Drosophila melanogaster: one gene and its partners. The protein of the gene in region 3 interacts with the protein of the main gene of each other region in a pairwise test. Each region holds a gene or a part of one and is shown on either strand. Other genes may lie near its edges.

Region 1 (7,571 bases), on a different chromosome or scaffold from region 3:
CCACTCATGAAGTCAGTGGACTCCCTACTAATCGGCATCGAGACCGCCACGGAATCGGAGTCAGAGGGTGAGTTGGTTTAGCAATTTGAGGGGAATAATCTTTTCAAACTGATGCTGATGCCTTTCCAGACGAAAACTCTCTGCGCATGGACTGGGAGGCGGTGCCCAGCCTGACACCGCAGCCGGAGCTGGCGGATCCCAATCTGATGCCGGCGGCCAACCAGCAGTCTACCATCGCCTTCGTGCGAATGGCGGCCACATCGGTGCTGCGCTGGATCAAATGATCGCAGACCAACAGACGTCCGATCTTTCGGCTATATCATCATGAGACACGCGTGTTATCTTTTACAAATTAGACTAAGTAATCGTTTCTGTGACAGCACGTCGGTGTTTATCGGCAGTTGCTGGTTTTAGCGTTATCCTTTGGTTTACAGAACTAATTTTGTATCAATTATATATATACATATATATTCGCTGTGTGTAAAGAAAATGCGCCTTTTGGATTTATTTCTATTACATAACTTATTCGCCTTTATTTAATAAAAATGGTTCTCTATAAATAAATATATATAAATTTGCTTTATTAATGCTTGCATAGTACACTGACTTAGTAGGTAAACGACTCAATGAGAAACAATAATTAAACTGGTGCAATAATTGGAAAATCGGCAGACACAGCTGCGAATGAAACCTACCTAGAATCAGCACTAGAATCTTAGATTAGAATCGCAAGGGAACGAGCTGAGTGACCCTAGCTAAATGAACTTTGTGGGCAGTTGTTGCGTGGATGGGCGAGCAGCTCCAGTCGTGGTCACCACATCGCCGCCAGCGCTGGGCTGCGGCAGGCTGGGTTTAACGAATACTTGTGGCAGTGTGTTGGCAGAGGCTCCCACCTGGGCGGCGGACATGGAGACGGAGCCGTTGGCCAGCAGGTCGTAGCGCGGCGAGGCGTGGCTCATCGTGGAGAGCACGATGGCGGCGGCCATCGCCTCCTGGTTGTAAAAGGCCGTCACAGCAGCCGGAAGGGGCTGCTGTGCGGCCGATCCCGAATGTCATTGGCGCGTGGGCGTACTGGGCGCTGAGGATCCCATTCCTCCGCTTGCGCCCTTGACGCTGTTCGGCGAGAAAGCCGCTTGAATGAATTGCTTTTCCATTTCCTTCAGATTTGACATAGTTTTCATTATATGCGGATCGGTGAGATCGTACACTGGACCCAGCGTTCTTGGGCTATTGTAGATATACATGTTATTCGCGCTGTAGCCCAGGGATCCATTTACCTGCCCCACCGCACCCAAAGACGACCGACCTCTGTTCTGAGTCTTGTTCTTGGGCTTAGACTGGACTTTCTTTTGGGGCTTAGAGGCAGGAAAAACTCCCACAATCTCAACGCCATCCGACTCGCTGCTGCTTTCCCTGGCTACCGACGTCGTTTGCGCGGCCTTTGAGATGGCGGTGATGACAGTGGTGGTGGCAGCTAGCTGCTTGGACGTCTGAAGTATATCGCTGGTGCATTGATAGTCATCCAGGTTGATCACATGGGGAGAGGGCCGAGCTCCCACAATCACCTTGGCTTGGCCGTCTCCAGAATGCGGACTGGGATTCCCGCTGGCTGCCAGGGAGGCGGCCGTGATCAGATTGTAGAAATTGTTGCTGGTGTTAAGGTCAATTTTCCGGCTAGGGGATGCCAGATCCAGAACCGTACTGGCGGCTGCTACGGCGGCGGCATTGAGTGCTGCTGCCTGAGCCGAGGTGCTCGGCATGGAGAGCAGCGTGTCCAGGTGGGGCAGGTGGTTGTTGTTATTGCTAATGGCTGGTATACTGACGGCCGCCGTGGCAGCCGGCGCCAGCTGGAATTGCGGATGCGGAGTAAGTTGCGGTTGCAGCGGTACCTGCTTAGCCACCTTTTTCTTTGGCGGCTTGCTGGTCTGCTTGGGCATCTCCTTCAGCTTTCGCTTCAGACTGTTGGAGGAGGCACTTGTAGCTGAGTCCGTATCGGAGTTACCTCGAGATCGAGGGTCCTCCACTGCCTTTAGGTAGCTGCTTGCCGGCGGCATTTGCTCAGGAGCAGATACAACTCCAACGGGCTTGGGCGATGCGGACGCCGGCGGTGCCTTTGGCTTCTCCTTTGCTTTCAGCTTGGCGTTCTTGTAGCGTGTTATTTCCCTTTGCAACTCATCCAAACGCATCCAGCCTGGCGGCCACAGTTCCACCACCTTTTCCTTGAGATACCAATTGATGAACTCCTCCAACGATTCCTTGCGCTTGGCTAGGAAAGCGTAGGACGTCCAACGCGCTTGGTACACATCGTACAGCAGATGGCGTAGCTCGCTGGTCCACTGGAACTTCTTACGCGGCATTTTGGGCGGCAGTTCGGAGTTCACGTCCGCAGCTCTGAAAATAATAATCATAATCTAAAGGAACCTAATCGTTATTTCGCTTAACAACAATCTTACGCCTGTTCAGCAAATGTGCGCAGTTCCGTCTCATAGTTGGCCACCGCCTTAGGCATGACCACAGCTACAGCCCGCCGCAGCTTCTCCAGCATAATGGTGGACTTCCTCTTCTCCTCCTTCGCCCGCACTTGTTTCCCTTTGCGCAGCATGTAGTACTTGGGCAGTTGCAGCTGATACTCGATGTGGGAGAAGACCATGTTGCGCTCGTTGCGGTCCGTGCACAGCACCGCCTCGTACACCCTGGTGTAGGTTAATGGATATAAGCCTTAAATCTGTACTTGATGTTTACATCGGCTGCAAACTCACCGAAGCAGTAGTGGCGAAAGCTTCACATCCAGATTAAACTTCTTGCCGCACATGTCTCGACTCTTCACCGCTTCTTTGAAGCTGTTGACTGCGGTCACAATGTCCGCATCCAATGTGGTGGGGAGCAGAGTGTCGGCGGTGCGAAGATCTTAAAAATGAACACGTGAAAGGGTGATTTCAACCAACTAATACTGTATATGTAACTCACTTTCCTGCCCATCCTTGCCATGCTGACCGGCCTGCCTATCTGCCCGGCCGTGCTCAGACTCCATATCGCTGCTATCGCTGCTGGACACGTCGGTGGAAACACACTTCAGCTCGCCGTTGCCGACGCCCTTGACAGCTGCCGTGCCGCTCTGCGACTTCAGGAAGCTGTCTCGCTTGGCCTTTAGCATGTCCTTGACCGTTGTGGTCTTAACCACCTTCTTTAAAGCTTGCGCCTGGGCCTGACTCTGCGGCAGGGACTGAAGCTGACTTGATGGCTGAGTCTGGATAGGGTCTTGGCCGTCTTCCGTGTCCGAAATCTCCACCGTGCTGGGTCGTGGCGAGTTTGAGGATGAGGAAGTGGTGATCGGCTTAGTCGGCGGCTTCTTGCCACTCGTCAAAGAACTTGAGCTTGGTTTGGACTTGCCCGTAACGATGACCTTGGCCCGCTTAGCTTGATGATTGTCTTTGTACTTGCTGCTGGATTTGGCTGTAGCAGCAGAGTCCTCGTCCTCAAGACTTTCACTCTCGGAGTCGTCTTCGGAGTCGCTTTCATCGTTCTCCTCGGAGTCGTCCTCGGAATCGCTCTCGTCGTCCTCCTCATTGTTGCCATCATCGTTTTCGTCATCATCGCCCGAGGATGACGATGAGCTTTCCGAGCTGGACGAGACCATGCGCTTGCGTGATCGCTCTGGCATTTTGATGATGGCATCTGTTCGAGTGGTGTAGGACTTCTTGGTGAGGTTCTTGAACTCCAGTGCGCCACAGTTGATGTAGAAGCCGCCCTCCAGAGTTTCCGCCTCCTCCGGTATGATTTCGTCGTACTGGACAGAACATAGAGTTTAAGGTAAATAATTTCAGTGCATTCGTCGGAAATATTTCTTGTTCTTACGGCTTCCGTGTTGTCGATGAATGAGTCCGACTCATCGTAGCCCATTCCAATGTCCCGGTAGTCGTCCTTTTTGCTCTTCCCCCTGCCTGTGGCATAGGAGTTGCCATACTTGGCCTCCAGCTCCTTGACGATCCGTGCCACATCGTCATCGTTGTCGGCAAAGGGATCAGTGCTTGCGGAGCCATTGGTAGTGCTCACCTGCTTCAGCTTTTTGGTCTTTTTCTACGGATTGCAAGGGTTTAGAAAGCGATCCTCCAACTGAGTTATACACTCTTACCTTTTCCAAATACAAAAGCCGGGAGTAGTTAAACTCGGGATACTTGTTCGAATCGGTCTCGAACAGATCGAGTTTGATGCGGATGCACTTGGCAGTCTTTGTCGTGGGTTTGGAGCTGTTGTCGGGTGCAGCGGACGCAGCATCAGGCTCCAGGATGTTGCTGCCGAAGCGCGAGAAGCCCGCATCGCCCTGGATGATCGAGGTGAGGGTGACGCGCTTGTGCTCGCCCCCCTTTGACATTTCCGGCGGGCAGAGTTACGGATATTCAGTGGGATAGGGTTTCCTTTGAGCCGAAAGGGCCTTCCCGCCCTTTTTTTTCGAAAGAGCCGCGTGTTCTTCGTTGCTCTTTCCCTCTCTCTCTCTCGCAGCCAAACAAAAACAACAGAGACGTCGCTGCTGCTGATGCTCCTCCTCCTCCTTTTCCGCTGCTTCCTCTTCTTCTGGGGATGTCTGTTTTAGGTTTTCTGCACGTACACCAAGCAACCACAACCACTTAATAACCGTGGCAATTTCACTCTGAGCTGCACTTTCTTGTTGTCGCCCCACAAACACTGCTTTATCAACATAAACAAATGGCGAGGACCTGCGCCGGATTGCACTACTTTAATCGCCGCCCGCTTTGCAGCTGCATCCGCCGACCACGGCCACGAATAATTGTCACTTTTCTGGGGGAATGAAAAAGTGGAAACTTTTTGGGGGGTTTCAAATTGGTTGGCTTGCCGGCACGAAAACAACACAGTCTGTAAAAGCAGCGCACCGGGGATTAAACACACGCAATCGACGCTACCAAAGGGGACATTTAAACGATTCGACCAGGCGCTTTTCGCACGGCCAGGAGCGCGATTCTTAAATTGTTTCTTGTTAAAATCCTCAACGCTACATTCTCTCCGCTCCACCCCGCACCAAAGATCCGACCCTGCTTTTGGCTTTCGCACTCGCGTTGCGCAGCACTGGTCGCGGTTTTCGCAAATTACTCCGAGCCGTTCACACTGCGCGCAGCACAAGCCGAGACTTGCTGCGGCTGGCTGCATTTGGCAATATTTAGTTGTTATGGGTGCTATGTATTTCCAAAATTCCGTTAGTTAGAAATTCATTAGCTTGGCATCTAGCTCATTTTTAAAGTAAAGTTTCGAGCTACCAAGTTGATAGGTTACGTAAAATATATAGGTGGCTTATGCTGTTGTAAGCTTAATTGTTTAAAAAGGACCCAAAATCAAAATATAATGTAAACTTTTTTATAACTTACGCGGCTCTAAAACTTTCCAACAAGTAACGAGATCTGGCTTGAAAGCGGCCAACACTCGCACTAGCTTTTGTGCATCCCTGTGCAGTGCCACATTCCACACACATTTCTGCTTTGTTTTGACCAGAACGGGCCGTTGTGCAGCACTGTTCGGCACAGCTGTTCAGAGTATGGGGCCGCGGGTGGTGGGCAGATTTTCTTGGGGCGATTCAGTATTATTTCGATTGTGAAGGAGTTTACTTCGTAGAAAGTCAAGTGCTCGCCGTTTAATTAGCGCAAGTGCAAGTGAGTCGCAGTACGTGAGCTTGGGGGCTTAATTTCATGCGCCCGCTCCACAACAAAAACAAGCGAAACGAAAAGAGTTGCATGCACAGAAATTCGAATTCGGTCGAAACTGCAAGGTGTTATTATAACGGGAATGGCCAGTGCTCGTTATCGGGTGAAAACGATTAGGATTGTGCAATTAACAAAAGTGTGCCGTGCTGCTCTTTTCACAATCCAATCCAACCCAATCCCCAACTCCCCCACCCCCAATCCCCAAGTGGCACCACACAAACACTAGCACATAAACACTTATGCTGCCTTTATGCTTGCAGCCCCACTCGAGCTCTTTTATGTATGTATGTACATATTTATCCAACGAATGCAAGTGACCGACGTCCAAAGAGCAACGTACGGGATACGGAGCTCCGACAAAGGCTTCCCGCTTTCAGTGGTCCGGTGACTTTCGCCGGAGTAGTGACTCCGTCCCAGGAAACCAGCTAAACAAAAAGCCCCCAGCCGCTCGTAAAAAAGTGTCATGAGACAATAAAGGAACTTTAAGAAAGAAAGGAAAAGCGACGAGAAGAGTGGAGCTCCTTTGTTACATCTCTGGAAGAATCGTTCGGCTCCGAAGCAAAGGTGAGTAATACTGCTTCATTACGAAATTACGGGGCCTTGTACATTTGTAGTTCCAAAAAACAACAAGGGGAAATCGTTCATATGGGAAACAAGAGACTACCATTATAAGATAAGATCAGAACTGCGACTGCTTTCTTTTATCTCAAGTGACGTAGTCCAAGGTGAACACAGTAAACACTCGATGCAAGGACAACTTAGGTTTAAACCAGTTTTCTACACTACAAATTATGCAAATGGGTTAGATATCAAAACGAACACCCGTTTTCTTATCATGTCTACAAGTTTCTTTGCAAGAAAAAAAGGTTAGCTACTGAGAGTGTTGCCCGTAGCACTGCTTGAATGATAAACTCTACTCCCAGACATTGAAATTCCTACACCAAAATGGAGTTACGGCAATCGACCTTGAAACATGTGGCCCCAAATGCCTTGCCAACCCAAATTGGTTTCCCATTTTCTATGAAAACTTGTGTGTTTTTTTGGTAATTCATCTATTAAAGGCGGCAGCCAGTTTTTCATCTCAAATGGACAGAAGCCGCACACAAAAATAAAGCGATACACATAAACAATCAAACAACAGCAACAAGTGAGCGCACAAATTTAATTTGCTTTTTAATGCGTCATTATTGCCGATTTGCGACATGCTCGAGCTGCTTTACTGCTACCTCTTCGCAGATTTTCGCATCCCCAAGAGGTTCGTACAGTTGCGATCGCTATCGTTATCAGGGGAGCTCTTAAACCGAATGAGCGATACTTTATTTATTTCTGCTCTCTATTTGCTTTCATGATTAATTAAATGAGTCTGCTGTAGGAGAATGTATTAGCAATAATTATGGATAATTCACCAGCCCATCCAAAGCCATTCTTAAAGTTCATTTATCCAGTAGAAAACTTTGTTACAGAGCTAGGTTCATTGATCATTAAAAGGTTAAACAGTCTTATTCATAAACATAGGAAGAAATATTATTTAATTGTGGTTCAATCCAAAAGGGATCGTTGGCCGCCTGTCGTTGATATAATCAAACCGCACTTTGTCGCCGACAATTTCATTTACTCATCGTACTTTCCCCAACCAAACTAACAAATAAACTAGAACAAAAAGAGCCGCTGGTGGTTGGCTTCACCGCCAACACGACCACCCACTACAGATTCGGTTTTCCATTTTTAAAACAATGACGCATGCACGGAAATAAATTACATGATATACGCCTGACAATCTCATTACCTAGAGACGACGACCCATCGATAGTGGCTCTATGTATATACATACATAAAACACTCGGTTCTTCTTGGACTCTT
Region 2 (5,548 bases), on a different chromosome or scaffold from region 3:
TGCACATCTATGCAGTCTGTGTTTTGCTTCTCCTACTTGTATTTTTTGTTCTTCGGATGCAAAATAAAGCCATGCTAGTGTGTGTGTGACTCATTGATTCGATGTGTGAATGTGTGTGCGATGCTTTAAATTGCTATTTATAAACCAGCAAGAGCTGTGTCTTCGACTCAGTTGGGTTTTGCTTAGCAATTTCTGGCGCTCTCTGAGGGCTCATTCATCCATCGTAGCGCCACGGCGTATCTATGTGAGTGCGCTGCACTGGTGTGTGTCGGTGTGTGTTTTTGATTGTACCAAGTGTGTGTGAGGCAGTAGCCCAATCACACAGATACACACACTGGCAAGGGGAGACCGCCGGTGCACGTGGTAGCGAAACGTGATAATACGAAATACAACAACTGACAACAAAACAAACAGAAAACCTGACAACGCCGCTGTCGCTGCCTCTGCTGTCGTCGCGGTCGACGTCGTTCTCTGTCCATGTCGACGTTGGCAGATTTTCCCGGATTGGTTCCCTATTCTCGGCTTCACTGGCATATAAGCCTGGCCAATAGCAAAGCTCTGCCGCACATCCTTCTGTTATTGGATCCCGAAGCAAACTTCGTTTTTTCCTTCGCTTCGGAGCTTCGGATGACTTGTTGCTTTCCAAAAATAGTCACTGGCTGCACGGGGCGTATACTCGATATTCCCAGAATTGACCCGCCTGGGTAAAACAGGTGACTGAAGTTCGCTCTACCACATGGTCCATGGTTATGCCAATTGATGGGTTTTCAGGGCTGACTGGGTTTCTCAAATGCAAAAAAAAAAGAGTTTTGTTTAACCGAAGAATAGCACAAGGCTGAAAAAAGGTGGGCGACTTAACAAGTTTAACAAGTAGAAAAATGGCGAGGATATTCTTGGAATTCTTTTGAATTGGTTTAACGAAAGATGGAACCTTACAAATTGAATAAGTCTTATATATTTTATTTATTTTATATATTTCTTTATTTATATATTTCTTAAATAATCCATGTAATTGTAATTCAGTTTATTTGCATTTTTATCAGAAATGTGTTTTTATATTTTATCTCAAATTGCTTACTGCTCTGATTCATAGTTATAAAATCTTCGATGATCATTGGGTAAGTATTGAGTGTATTATACAAAACTTCTAAGAAAATTTACCGGACCTATGCCAACAGAGAGCAATTATTATAATTATTTAAACTTGATTAAGCCCTCGAATAGTTTGAATACTTTTTGAAATTTCCAAGAAAAACGGCGACCTACGGCAATAGTTTAGCGCCTTCGATAGAATGCAGATTAAGTATACGCTCCGTTGCAGCTACTACGTCGTTTCATTGGGTTTTCGCCCAGAGTGTTAAGCACTCAGCTTCAGACCCCCCCCCCCCACCACTCTGCCCCATCGGATCTACTTACTGGGAATGACGCAGCGGTAATTAGTTGGTGGCACAGAGGCAATCCTTTGGAGCACATTACGCATACGTCACGTGTTGCAGACGCACCAGTGCCGAATTAACCGAATATTGGCACGGCAATTGGCCAATCGGCCACGCACTCCAGCTGATGTGTAAAGTCTAGTGGCCATAGGTACACCCGTTACAGGGGGACAGACATAGCGCTCTATTGCGAATCGACTGGAAACTTTTGAGTTGCATTCGTATCTCTATTTGTCACCCTATCGGTACGTGTATCTTTGAGTGCGCTTGTCGTTCAACGTGCACTCTCATTCTCTCTGTCGCTCTCTCTCAATTAATTTGCGTATGTGTGTGTGCCCGGTGTGTCCGCAACACGTGCTTAGAACTGTGCTAGACAGTGGGCTTTGGGTCATATTGAAATCCGCGTGACTTGGCCGCAGCAGCGCTCAGCGCCTCAGCGGGCGTCGCAGTTCCAGTCCCCCAAGTATATACAAATAACTACAGCTATGTCCAAGATAATAGCAATCATTTAAGAGCAAGAAAAAAATGTTTTAAAATAATAAATTTTGTTACTAGAATATTATAAGTAATGTTGAAATAACTGAGATAAAACAAAGTTGCTTTAAAAAAAAATATTATTAAGTTCTTGATAGATAATTAGATATAAGAAGATAACATAGGTTTAGTCCTAAGTGAATTATAATTTATAATAGATTTGATACTAAATCTGAGTCGAAGTACTCGTATATGAACACTGTTTAATATATACCAAGAACTGTACTAAAAATACCTATGGCACTTGAATTGATTAATATAGTAGTAATGCTAATCATTTTCCCAGTGCTGTATGTAAAAATATTTGTTGTACATGTACAAATATTTTGCGCTACCAACATTTGATAAAAAAAAGCCAGTTAAACAATTATCAAAGTAGGAGAGGGGTTACTGTTTTCGGACCTCCGCCCTTTACGTAAGCCGACTTACTTGCAGAAAATTGCAATTTTTAGCTGGCTGAGAGAGCGGTAGCGGCGACTGCGACGTCGACTGCAGCGACGACTGCAGCGGCGGCAGAGGAAAAGCAGAGACGGACATTGAGACCGAGAAAATTACTCGGCCGGCATTCTGTCGCATCGCGTTCTCATGTGAAAATCGTCGCAGCTCGTTCCGTGTTTTCGCCACTCGAGCGGGAAAATCAAAAAATATTTCTACGCTCAACAAAATAAATTAATTGAAATTGATTTTTCAAGCAACAGAAATAGTTCTAGAAGAACTATAAATCGAGGAAGTCATTTTTGTTTTATCAAATTTCAAGTGCAATGGGTTCATTGTGAAATCAATCTAAAGTGTGTGTGTGTGTGTCATTCGAATAATTACTATTATTAAAAAAGAAATAAATACGCAGAAAGAGAGAGAGAGATCGAACGAGGCAGAGTGAAAGAGAGAGATAGAGAAAAAAGCGAGAGATCCGGAGATCTCTCGAGAATCTTTAAACAACAGCGCTAAAGTTACGGATCTAATTTCAAACAGTTTAATTTACTTTTAATTTTTCTACAAAACAACAAACTTCAAAAAGAAAAATACGAACCAGCAAAACTCAAAGCAAAAAACGATCTCATATCCAAGCGCAGCAACAAATTCTGAGAATAAGAAAAGGTATTCAACAAAAGGCTGAAAGGAAGAAGAGTTATTCATCAATGAAAAGGATAATTCAATTGATTTGGAAAATAATAATTTATTTGTTTTGATTTATATATAGAAAATATTCCAAATTTACGTTGAAATAATGTTAAAAAAAAAAAAACATTGGAAGCCTTTGACTCGGTTGATTTGATATACAGTTTAATTGGCAAATAATTATTAGTTTGTCTCGTTTTAAAAGTGAAGCAAAAACAATAAATGACCGTGAATGTTTTGATTGCAAAAATTCCATAAAGAACACGGAAAGCCTTTGTACCTATTGATTCCACTTTAAGATTTCTATAGCGTCACAAAAATCTTATTATACAAAATTGATTGAACTAAAAGAAAGCGCAAACTATACAACTATACAATGCCTTTTCTTATTCCTTATCATCATGATCATCAATAAAAACTAATGGAAAACTAAATAAAAATCATACAAAAATAGACGAAAACAAAGTGCATTCCCTGACCACACGAAAACAAGCGCATTCATTATCAGTTGCTATCAAAATCGCTTCCCCATCATACTCAATACTCACTAATAAAACTGAAAAACTGAATCATTCCCAACATTTTTCACCCACCTATCACCTGTTCATTAGCAACAACGAATTGGCTATCAATTGACTGGCAAATAAAAAACCAGCAACATACCAAAGTGCTCAAACACTAATCTGGGTTTTTCAAAAACAAAAGCACAATATTTTTTTCAGATAACACAGACAAGCGTTTATGTTAAAAACAAAAAAACTAAAGTGAACCCAAGTGTAAAGACAATGCGCACAACTTTTGGCCGTGGCCCAAAGTTTATACTGCTGACCAGCAAATTTAATCACGTTCAGCACAAGGAGGTGATCACCTAGGATCATCAGAAAACAGTGATTAACCGTAACCAGTGAAGGATAACCCAGTGAATAACGTACCCAGTTGTTGAAACCAGTGATCATGTCGTCGGATACGAATTCGTGTACTAGTTTCTTTGCCCAGGAGCACGCGAATGCCACATTGTCGCAGTATTTCCAGCAGCTTAACTCGCACGTTGCTGCTGCAGCGGCGGGCAATAGCGGTGGCAACAGCAGCAGCAGCAACAACAACAACAGCAGCGGCAACAACAGCAGCAGCGGCAACAGCGACAGCGGAAATGATGGCAGCATGACAGGATCATCGGGAACCATGGACAACCATCGCAGCAGTGTTAGCAGCAATGATTCGGGCAAGAGTAGCGCCACAGGAGGCGGCGGGGCAGGTGCCACCAGCAACAATGGCGTGAATGCCTGGGCCTTGCAGCAGCAGCAACAAACCGCCGCCCTGCACCATCAGCAACAGCAGCAGCATCAACAGCAGCAGCAACACCAACAGCACCTACAGCAACACCATCAAGCGCACCATCAGCATGTCCTGCAGCAGCAGCAGCAGCAGCAACAGCAGCACTCCCAGCATCAGCATCAGCAGCAACATCACGGCCACCCGTTGCATCCGCATCATACACACCAGCAGCAACAACAACAACAACAGCAGCAGCAGCCGCCGCCGCAACACCACCAGCAGCAGCAACAGCAGCACGCACAGCAGCAGCAGCAGCAGCATCATGCCGCCCAGCTGGCACATACACTGTCATCGGCCGCCGTTGCTGCTGCAGCCGGGAATACCGGTGGCAACACCAACCCCCACTCCATTTTCGGCACCGGCAACTTCCACTACAAGACGAACAACTCGTGGACGCTGCCCACGCTAACGTACCAGAGGATTTACCAGGAGAATCCCCATTACCAGCGCAACTCCTTCATGGATCCGCAGAGTAATGCCGCTGCAGCTGCAGCAGCTGCTGCTGCCAGTTGCAATGCTGCCGCTGTTGCGGCAGCCGCTGCAGTTGCAAGTGGCAACCAGGGATCGAATGGGAATGCCAGTGGCAATGGTAATGCTGTTGTGGCGGCAACTGGTAATGGAAATGGTGGAAATCCCGGCCAGAATAACAACAACAATAACGGCAACAATAGTGGCAATAGCAACAATAACAGCAACAACAATGTGTCCTCCGTGCAACATGTGGCAAATGCCGTCGCAGCGGCAGTGATCGCCAATGAGCATCACAACCATTTGAACAGCTTGAAAGCGCGATTTCAGCCAGCCAGCTCAGGTGAGGTGAAAAACTTGAGGAAAAAAGGGGGGGAAATTGTTGGAAAATATATATTGGATATATAGTAATGACCTTAAATGGTTTGTTAACTATAGAAAAATGGAAAAGTGCTACTTAACAGCTGTACTGTGCATTCGTATATATATATAAACTTATGTATATATCTTTCTACCGCTTAGATACTTCAACTTTTCTTGGTTGTCTTAAACATTAGTTGTATACAGTACTCTGAATAACTAAATTGTTTTGAGAACACAAAAAGCACACTTAAAGGGAGAAAAACCAAAAACAACTGATAAAGTGTATGACTAGT
Region 3 (6,299 bases):
GCTCTAGGGGCTCTGGAGGCTCTGGAGGCCAGAAGAGACGAGAGGCTTAAAGACCTGGAAGGCCCAAAGGCCCAAATGGGCCGGCCCGAGCCGGGCCGTGTCTGGAAGTGCCAGGCACGCAAGCCACCTCAAACACACTCAGGCGCTTCATTTTTTTTTTTTTTTTTTTTTTACATGGCAGCAAGGACCAGGCTACCAGACTGGGCAACTACTTCTGGCCCCGGATCCGTATTTATATGCACATATATAAATATATATATATATATATATATATATATATAGGAATTTATAGTATAGTATATATCTGAATGGTTGTGGGGCCCACACTATATTTATTGCACTGCGCTAGTCAGTTCATAAATTGTTGCGGCTCGTTGGCTCTGCCCGGCCAATAAAAGAAATTGCCTGGATTTATGGCCCGGAGGAGAGTCGAAAGTAGAAGTTGCCTCATTTTGGGGCTGTGCAAAATGAAAAACTTTTTAATGGCAATTGCCAATTTTTTCGTTGGTTTTTTTTTTCTCCTTTTGCTCTCGGTGGGCGTAACTGTGGCCAGCCACGCCCAATCCCAGAAAAAGCTGGTAAATCGAACGCCAAAGTTATCCCAAGAACATCGGACTCGATCTTGGGTGGCAGTTGGGTTAGCCAAGAAACATGTGGCAAGAGAACCTTCTCGGTCTCATATCTTGACTTGACTGACAACGAAACTCGTTAAGGACGAAATCGTAGCTAGCCTTGACCTTTTTTACTCTTAGGATGAATCATATGTATCTTAAGCTGAAGAGTGTTAGGTGAAGTATTGTAAATTCAAGTTACGAAATACATTTTACATGTCAGACCGGCAGCCTTGGCAAGGGTAACCCATAAATTCTGATAGGTATCCTAGTTGCGGTTGTCGAAGGGAGTGAGGGATCCTGCCACATGTCCTGACCGATCAAGCATGATCCGCATCCCATAAACACTCAATATGCATTTGAAATTGACCGGAAGAAGGGGCGGCGGCGTTACCAACCCCCGCTTAACCCACTTAACCCCTTAACCCGAACCCCGGACCAGGTAATTGCTCTCTAGCATTTGGCCATGGGCATGAACATAGGCACGGGAATGGTAATGGTAATGGTAATGGGAATGGGAATGGGAATGGGCATGGGCATGGGCATGGGTACGTCAAACACCTGATCCCCGGGATGCAATGATGCATGTAAAAGGTGTAGAAAAGCCGGAAGGACCCCGACTTGCACCTCCAACCCCCGCAATTAATAATTATTGTGAGCAGTGGAAATTTCATGGGCAATTGCCAGGGCGAAACGATTAAGGATTGGAAGGAGGGTATTCGGGTCGCGTGGGCAAGCAAAGTTCCGTAAATTGCCATTGGAAAACGTGGGTTTTGATGGCTGAAAGGTCCTGCGCAGGCGCCATTTTCGCCTTGACTGCGCGAGGACACGGCCCTGGAACTCGAACGCCGATGAAACAGGAGAAATAACCCATCCTGCTCCACCCTGCGAAAACCCAAAACCAAAACCAAAATCGAAAAAAAAGCCCTAAAGCCCAAAGCCGAAAACCCCCTGTTTGCCAACCCACCAGCCAACTGGGGGCCGCAAGGTAAATTTGTGAATGGTTAATGAAAAGTTACCCAAACTGCACGCCCATTCGAACTGAGCCGAAACTTCTTGGACTGTCGATTCATTACATTAAATGCGGGGGGGTGGTGAGGAGTGCAGGTGCGCAGGTGATGGGCAAATGTCATAAATTATTTGCCTCCCCCTCCCGAGCGGGGTGGTTTTATATGTAAATTTATATAGGATATTTACACGCAACATTCGCGGCTGCGGCATCAAATATTTACACTGATTCCGGGTATTCGAAGACAACAAAAGAAATGAATAACAAAAAACAGGTGGGGAGCAGTGGGGGCGAAAGGCCAAATTGATGAACCTTGAAAAATGTGTTAAAACTTATTGTTTTCTTCGTCAGCGATTCTTGACGAATTGATATTTTCGAACTCAGCGTGGTAAAAATGGAATTTTGAAAATTTTAACGTTTTGCGAAAAGTAGGTAATGATTAACTAGTTTTGAATACTATTGAATGATTAACTAATACGGAATGAGCCGTATTAAGCACTTATCACCATAAAACTAAGAATTTGGTATACTCAACAATTGCCACTAAACAATCCAAAAGCCAAAATTAATGGGTCGCTATCCGTATAAGCTGATAATACCAGGGAATACCAGTTTGGCATAAACAACTTGTTGAACAACCCGCAAATAGTTTGGTTAACAACATTTTTGTTTTTCACCTTATGCGAGCGAAGGCAAGGTAAATGCAATTTTCTAGCCCATAAATCTGTTTGAGCTGCTAACTTTTGGCACTTTCATTGTGGCCGCTATCGTTTGTTTGCCGGTGTGTGGCACTTTGTTTAAGTTTGGTTACCAACCAAGGAACGAAAACATGGTAAGAAGAAATACCCAGCGAACGAGGAAATCAAATGGCCAACGGGAATGGCCAAAACGAAATGCTTGAGATTTGTTTAATTGCATCCTGGCTGGCGTTTTTTGCCATCAAAAAAAATAACAGGATGGCTAGCACTCCACAAAATGGCGTCCATCCGAATGGGCGGTGGGCGGTGGGCGGTGGTGGTTGATTCAGTGGGTGGTTCGATGGGGGACAGTACTTACGATATCCATTGGTATATGCCCGACACAGTCAGCTCACCCTTATCCTCGAGGGCGTATTCGATGAGCTCCGTGTAGGTGAACGGTGGTTTCTTTGGCCTGCTTGTTTTGCGGTGGTTGGTTTTGGATTTCAGCCACATTGGTGGGTGGTTCGGTGGTTTAGTGGATCGGCGATTGCGTGGTTGGGGAAATTCGTTGGCGGCATCGATTGGAGGACGGCATTGAAAGCAAATGGAGAACGCACAAATCAGAGAAAAAGATTGTTAAATATATTAAAACAAAAGAGAGAATGCTATAGTCGAGTTACCCGACTATCAGATACCCGTTACTCAGCTAGTGTGAATGCGAACGCGAAATTTAATCATCTTTCTGGGATGTCGATAGATATTGGGGAATAAAATGAGAAAAAAATTTAAAAATTGATCCTGATCAACAAATTTTATATATACTTCAACGAATCTAGTATACCCTTTTCCTCTATGAGTAACGGGAATAAATAGATGTTTCAAATAAATTAGGAAATATAGAATTTAACCGTTGACACTGTCATATTGTTTTATTTCTGCAACACTTACGCCTTGGACGAAGTATCCTCGACGACAACGTGCTCGGCAACTATCATGTCGTTACCGTCCAACTCCGAGGTGACCTCCATCACCAGCTCCTCGAACTTGCGCCCAGTCTTGGTGGAGCCCACGCCGGCCACGCCCCCCGCTGCTGAAGCGCCAGCGGAGCCGTTGCCTCCTCCTCCTAATGCCGCTGGCATCGCTGCACTGGAGCAACTCTTGGGCGATCTGGCCCGTTGATCCACCAAACCCGATCCGAGAGATTGATTTGTGCTTATGGCGGATGCGGATGCCGATGCGGCGGAGGCGGATGATGGCGAGGAGGAACTGCAGGGCGACGTGGCGATCGGCACTGCCGTCGATGGTGGATGAGGTGGAGCACTGCCCTCCGGCAGATTGACCGCCTGTCCGTGAATCTGATTGTGCGGCGATAGGTGCGGGAACTCGTCGAACTTAAAGTTGAGCAGCCACGAGAGGTTCTTATCCTCGAAGTCCGCCTCGGTGGCTTCATTGGCCCCACTAACCGAACCGGATGAGGTGCGTCGGCCCGCCGACTGTATCCGCTGCTTCTGCGGCACCAGAAAATGTTGATTCTGATGTGGGTTCTGACCAGGACTGACATTCTGTTGTGTTGACTGCTGCGTATGATTGGATGCATTTTGAGCTGATGATGATGTTGGTGGTGGCGGCGGCAAAGTGGCATTCAATTGCCCCAGTTCCGCCTGCAGGCCGGAGTTATAACGATGATCCAGCTCCAGCAGCTCGCCACCGGTCCAACCACCATTGTCATCCAATGGAGCACTCGATGGTGGACAGTGCGAATAGGCGACGGCGGGCACCAGAAGACTGCTCTCATAGGAAAAGAGATCGTTGATGAAGGACGTCGAGGATTGGGCGGGTGCAGCGTTGGTTGGCGGATTACTAGGTGGCTGTTCCAGCTGCAGGTGGAAGTGCAGGTCCCCGGCATCGTAGTCCAAGTGTCGCTTCTTCCAGGGATTTGCCCCGATGGGCTCGTAGTCGTGGCCCAAAGCCAAATCCTCCTGATCGTCGAACTTGCGCTTAAGAAAGTTGTAATCACCGGGAAGATTAGTGTTCGTATCATTTTGATTGGTGGTACTGCTATTGTTGTTGTTGTTGCTGCTGGGATTCGATGTTGGGCTGGATGCACTGCCCGTTCCATTGACGGGCATGTTGACAATCATGATGTCCCGGCTGTCTCGATTTCAATCACGTTAGCCAAGCCAAAACACACAACTCACACTTGGCGAAAAAGAGCAAGTAACACGAAAAAAAAATTGACCTGCTTCGTCTGGGGGACGGACGAAGGATATTTCTTTCTTTATTTCTCAATCTTTAGTTTAGTCAAGAGCGGAAATTGGGAATTAGTCGGTCCGCACTGGCTAACTGGCTAACCGTCTCGCGCTGCGACTGGCCACGGAATGCGATGGGCCGCCAGGAGTCCAGACCAACTTGGCTGTTGGGCTGAGCTGCGCCTGCGCCCTCCTGCCACTCATCCACATTCACATCCACCACCCCGGACACCCAGTCATGCACATAAGCGGTACGTCTGCAGTCGATGGAAAGAGGAGCCGTACCTGTGATGGCGCAGGTACAATAAAATAATGCAGACACTTCACTGTATTATATTTGACATATTCGTTGATATATGTTTCAACCATATCACCTGCTTATAAATATATATTTATAATTTATATATAAATATGAAAAATATCAAAGCAAAGAAAGCTGTCATAGCTTCTAAATAATCAGTCGTGTACGCTGTACCAAGCTGAGTTTAAAAAGCAATCAAGTACCTCTAGGTACAACCACCCAGGTCTTGGCATCGCTGAGCCCAGGTCATGTGCCGCTGGTTCTGCTTGGTCGCTCGATTTGGCCATAATCGAACATGTGCGCCAAGCTGTCCGTTAGCCAATTTCGCGCTGACATGGGGCGGGGTGCGGTAGATAGGTTCTGGATCCAGGGTGCAGGGTGCAGCCATTGAAGCGTCTAATCGACGCTTTCATACACCATGCGTACCCAATGTACTTCATACAAAGTGAGCAACCCACACAGGTGATGCGCCGGATAGTTTAAGGGACTACGGCTCCATCTGTTCAACCCGCTCGAAAAAAAAGCAAAAGTATCTCCCCTTTTACCCGTTTACCAAAAAATATGGACATTAGCAATTCGGGTTCTTGTTGATTCGTTTATTTATTTCCATTGATCACTGGTTGAATGAGTGTGTGAATGAGTGTGTGAATGAGTGTGTGAATGAATGGGCGATTGCTTTCATGTTGGGGGGCTAAATGCATTTGCATACAATATGATTTAAATCCTACTCAGTACAATTTTGTTTGACCAAATGATGCGATTAGTTTTATCCGTTTCTTCGTTCTCGGTAATTTAGGCTAATATTATTGAACATATATATATTTTTTATTTTCTTTTGGTTGTTTCTCGAGCTTTAGTTCAACTAGATCGATCGGCACCCTTGAATCTGACTTGACGTCTAAACATTCATGTTTTGTTCGTTACAGGACAATCTTTTGATTTACCTGTGAACTGCAAATGTGAAGTTTTTAAGCATATTCTAGCTCCTTTGTATAGTTTCATTTGCCACTTTAATGGCCGCAAGTATGCTTTTCAATAATATGTGAAGAAGCGTCTCCAGCATCTCCAACATCTCTTTCTTCTCGATTTAAATAAATGTTGCTTATTCTTCTGACTGCTTGTAGTATTTTGAATATTTGAATTTTCTCCATTGTCGCCCGTTCTTTTACGTGTTGGTTAAGTTAAAGCTTAGGAAATGTTTGTTTTTTCCCAGCTGCAAAAATGTGTAAGGCAGTTGCTTTCCCTTTTGTTTTTCGTGTAGTCCATCTTCTTCCCCGCACTCTGTTGCTTTCTCTTTCTTTGTTGTTTTGTAATCTCGCTCGATTTCGTGTAATTGTTTGTTAACTTCTTTTTATCGACGCATGTTTCAGTCTTACTACTGCCCCATTTCTAAACCTTAGTCCAAACCGTCATCGACGAAGTCGGCGGAATCCTTTTTAGGCTTAGGCT

The links. The genes of interacting proteins can lie anywhere in the genome.
Region 1: the proteins of fd3F (region 3) and yem interact in a two-hybrid assay, tested with the Drosophila melanogaster proteins (one large-scale study listed by BioGRID).
Region 2: the proteins of fd3F (region 3) and Pdp1 interact in a two-hybrid assay, tested with the Drosophila melanogaster proteins (one large-scale study listed by BioGRID).

The regions. Positions count from the first base shown.
Region 1 is NT_033777.3:29,117,830-29,125,400, forward strand, and holds yem (yemanuclein), read right to left. Parts: upstream 5,051-7,571; 5' UTR 4,373-5,050; coding exon 4,133-4,372; intron 4,078-4,132; coding exon 3,856-4,077; intron 3,788-3,855; coding exon 2,968-3,787; intron 2,908-2,967; coding exon 2,760-2,907; intron 2,694-2,759; coding exon 2,454-2,693; intron 2,392-2,453; coding exon 1,053-2,391; coding exon of another isoform or gene 756-1,052; 3' UTR 501-755; downstream 1-500. Other genes in the region: Atg14 (Autophagy-related 14), read left to right, coding at 1-67, 130-284. UniProt on the Drosophila melanogaster protein: May play a key role in egg organization. May be a transcriptional regulator having a role in chromatin remodeling in concert with Hira, a histone chaperone. Involved in chromosome segregation by affecting kinetochores function in the first meiotic division.
Region 2 is NT_037436.4:7,830,074-7,835,621, reverse strand, and holds the start of Pdp1 (PAR-domain protein 1), read left to right. Parts: upstream 1-2,548; 5' UTR 2,549-3,068; intron 3,069-3,794; 5' UTR 3,795-4,043; coding exon 4,044-5,235; intron 5,236-5,548.
Region 3 is NC_004354.4:3,800,699-3,806,997, reverse strand, and holds the start of fd3F (forkhead domain 3F), read right to left. Parts: upstream 4,683-6,299; 5' UTR 4,442-4,682; coding exon 3,249-4,441; intron 2,773-3,248; coding exon 2,677-2,772; intron 1-2,676. Other genes in the region: HIP (Hsc/Hsp70-interacting protein), read right to left, coding at 6,247-6,299.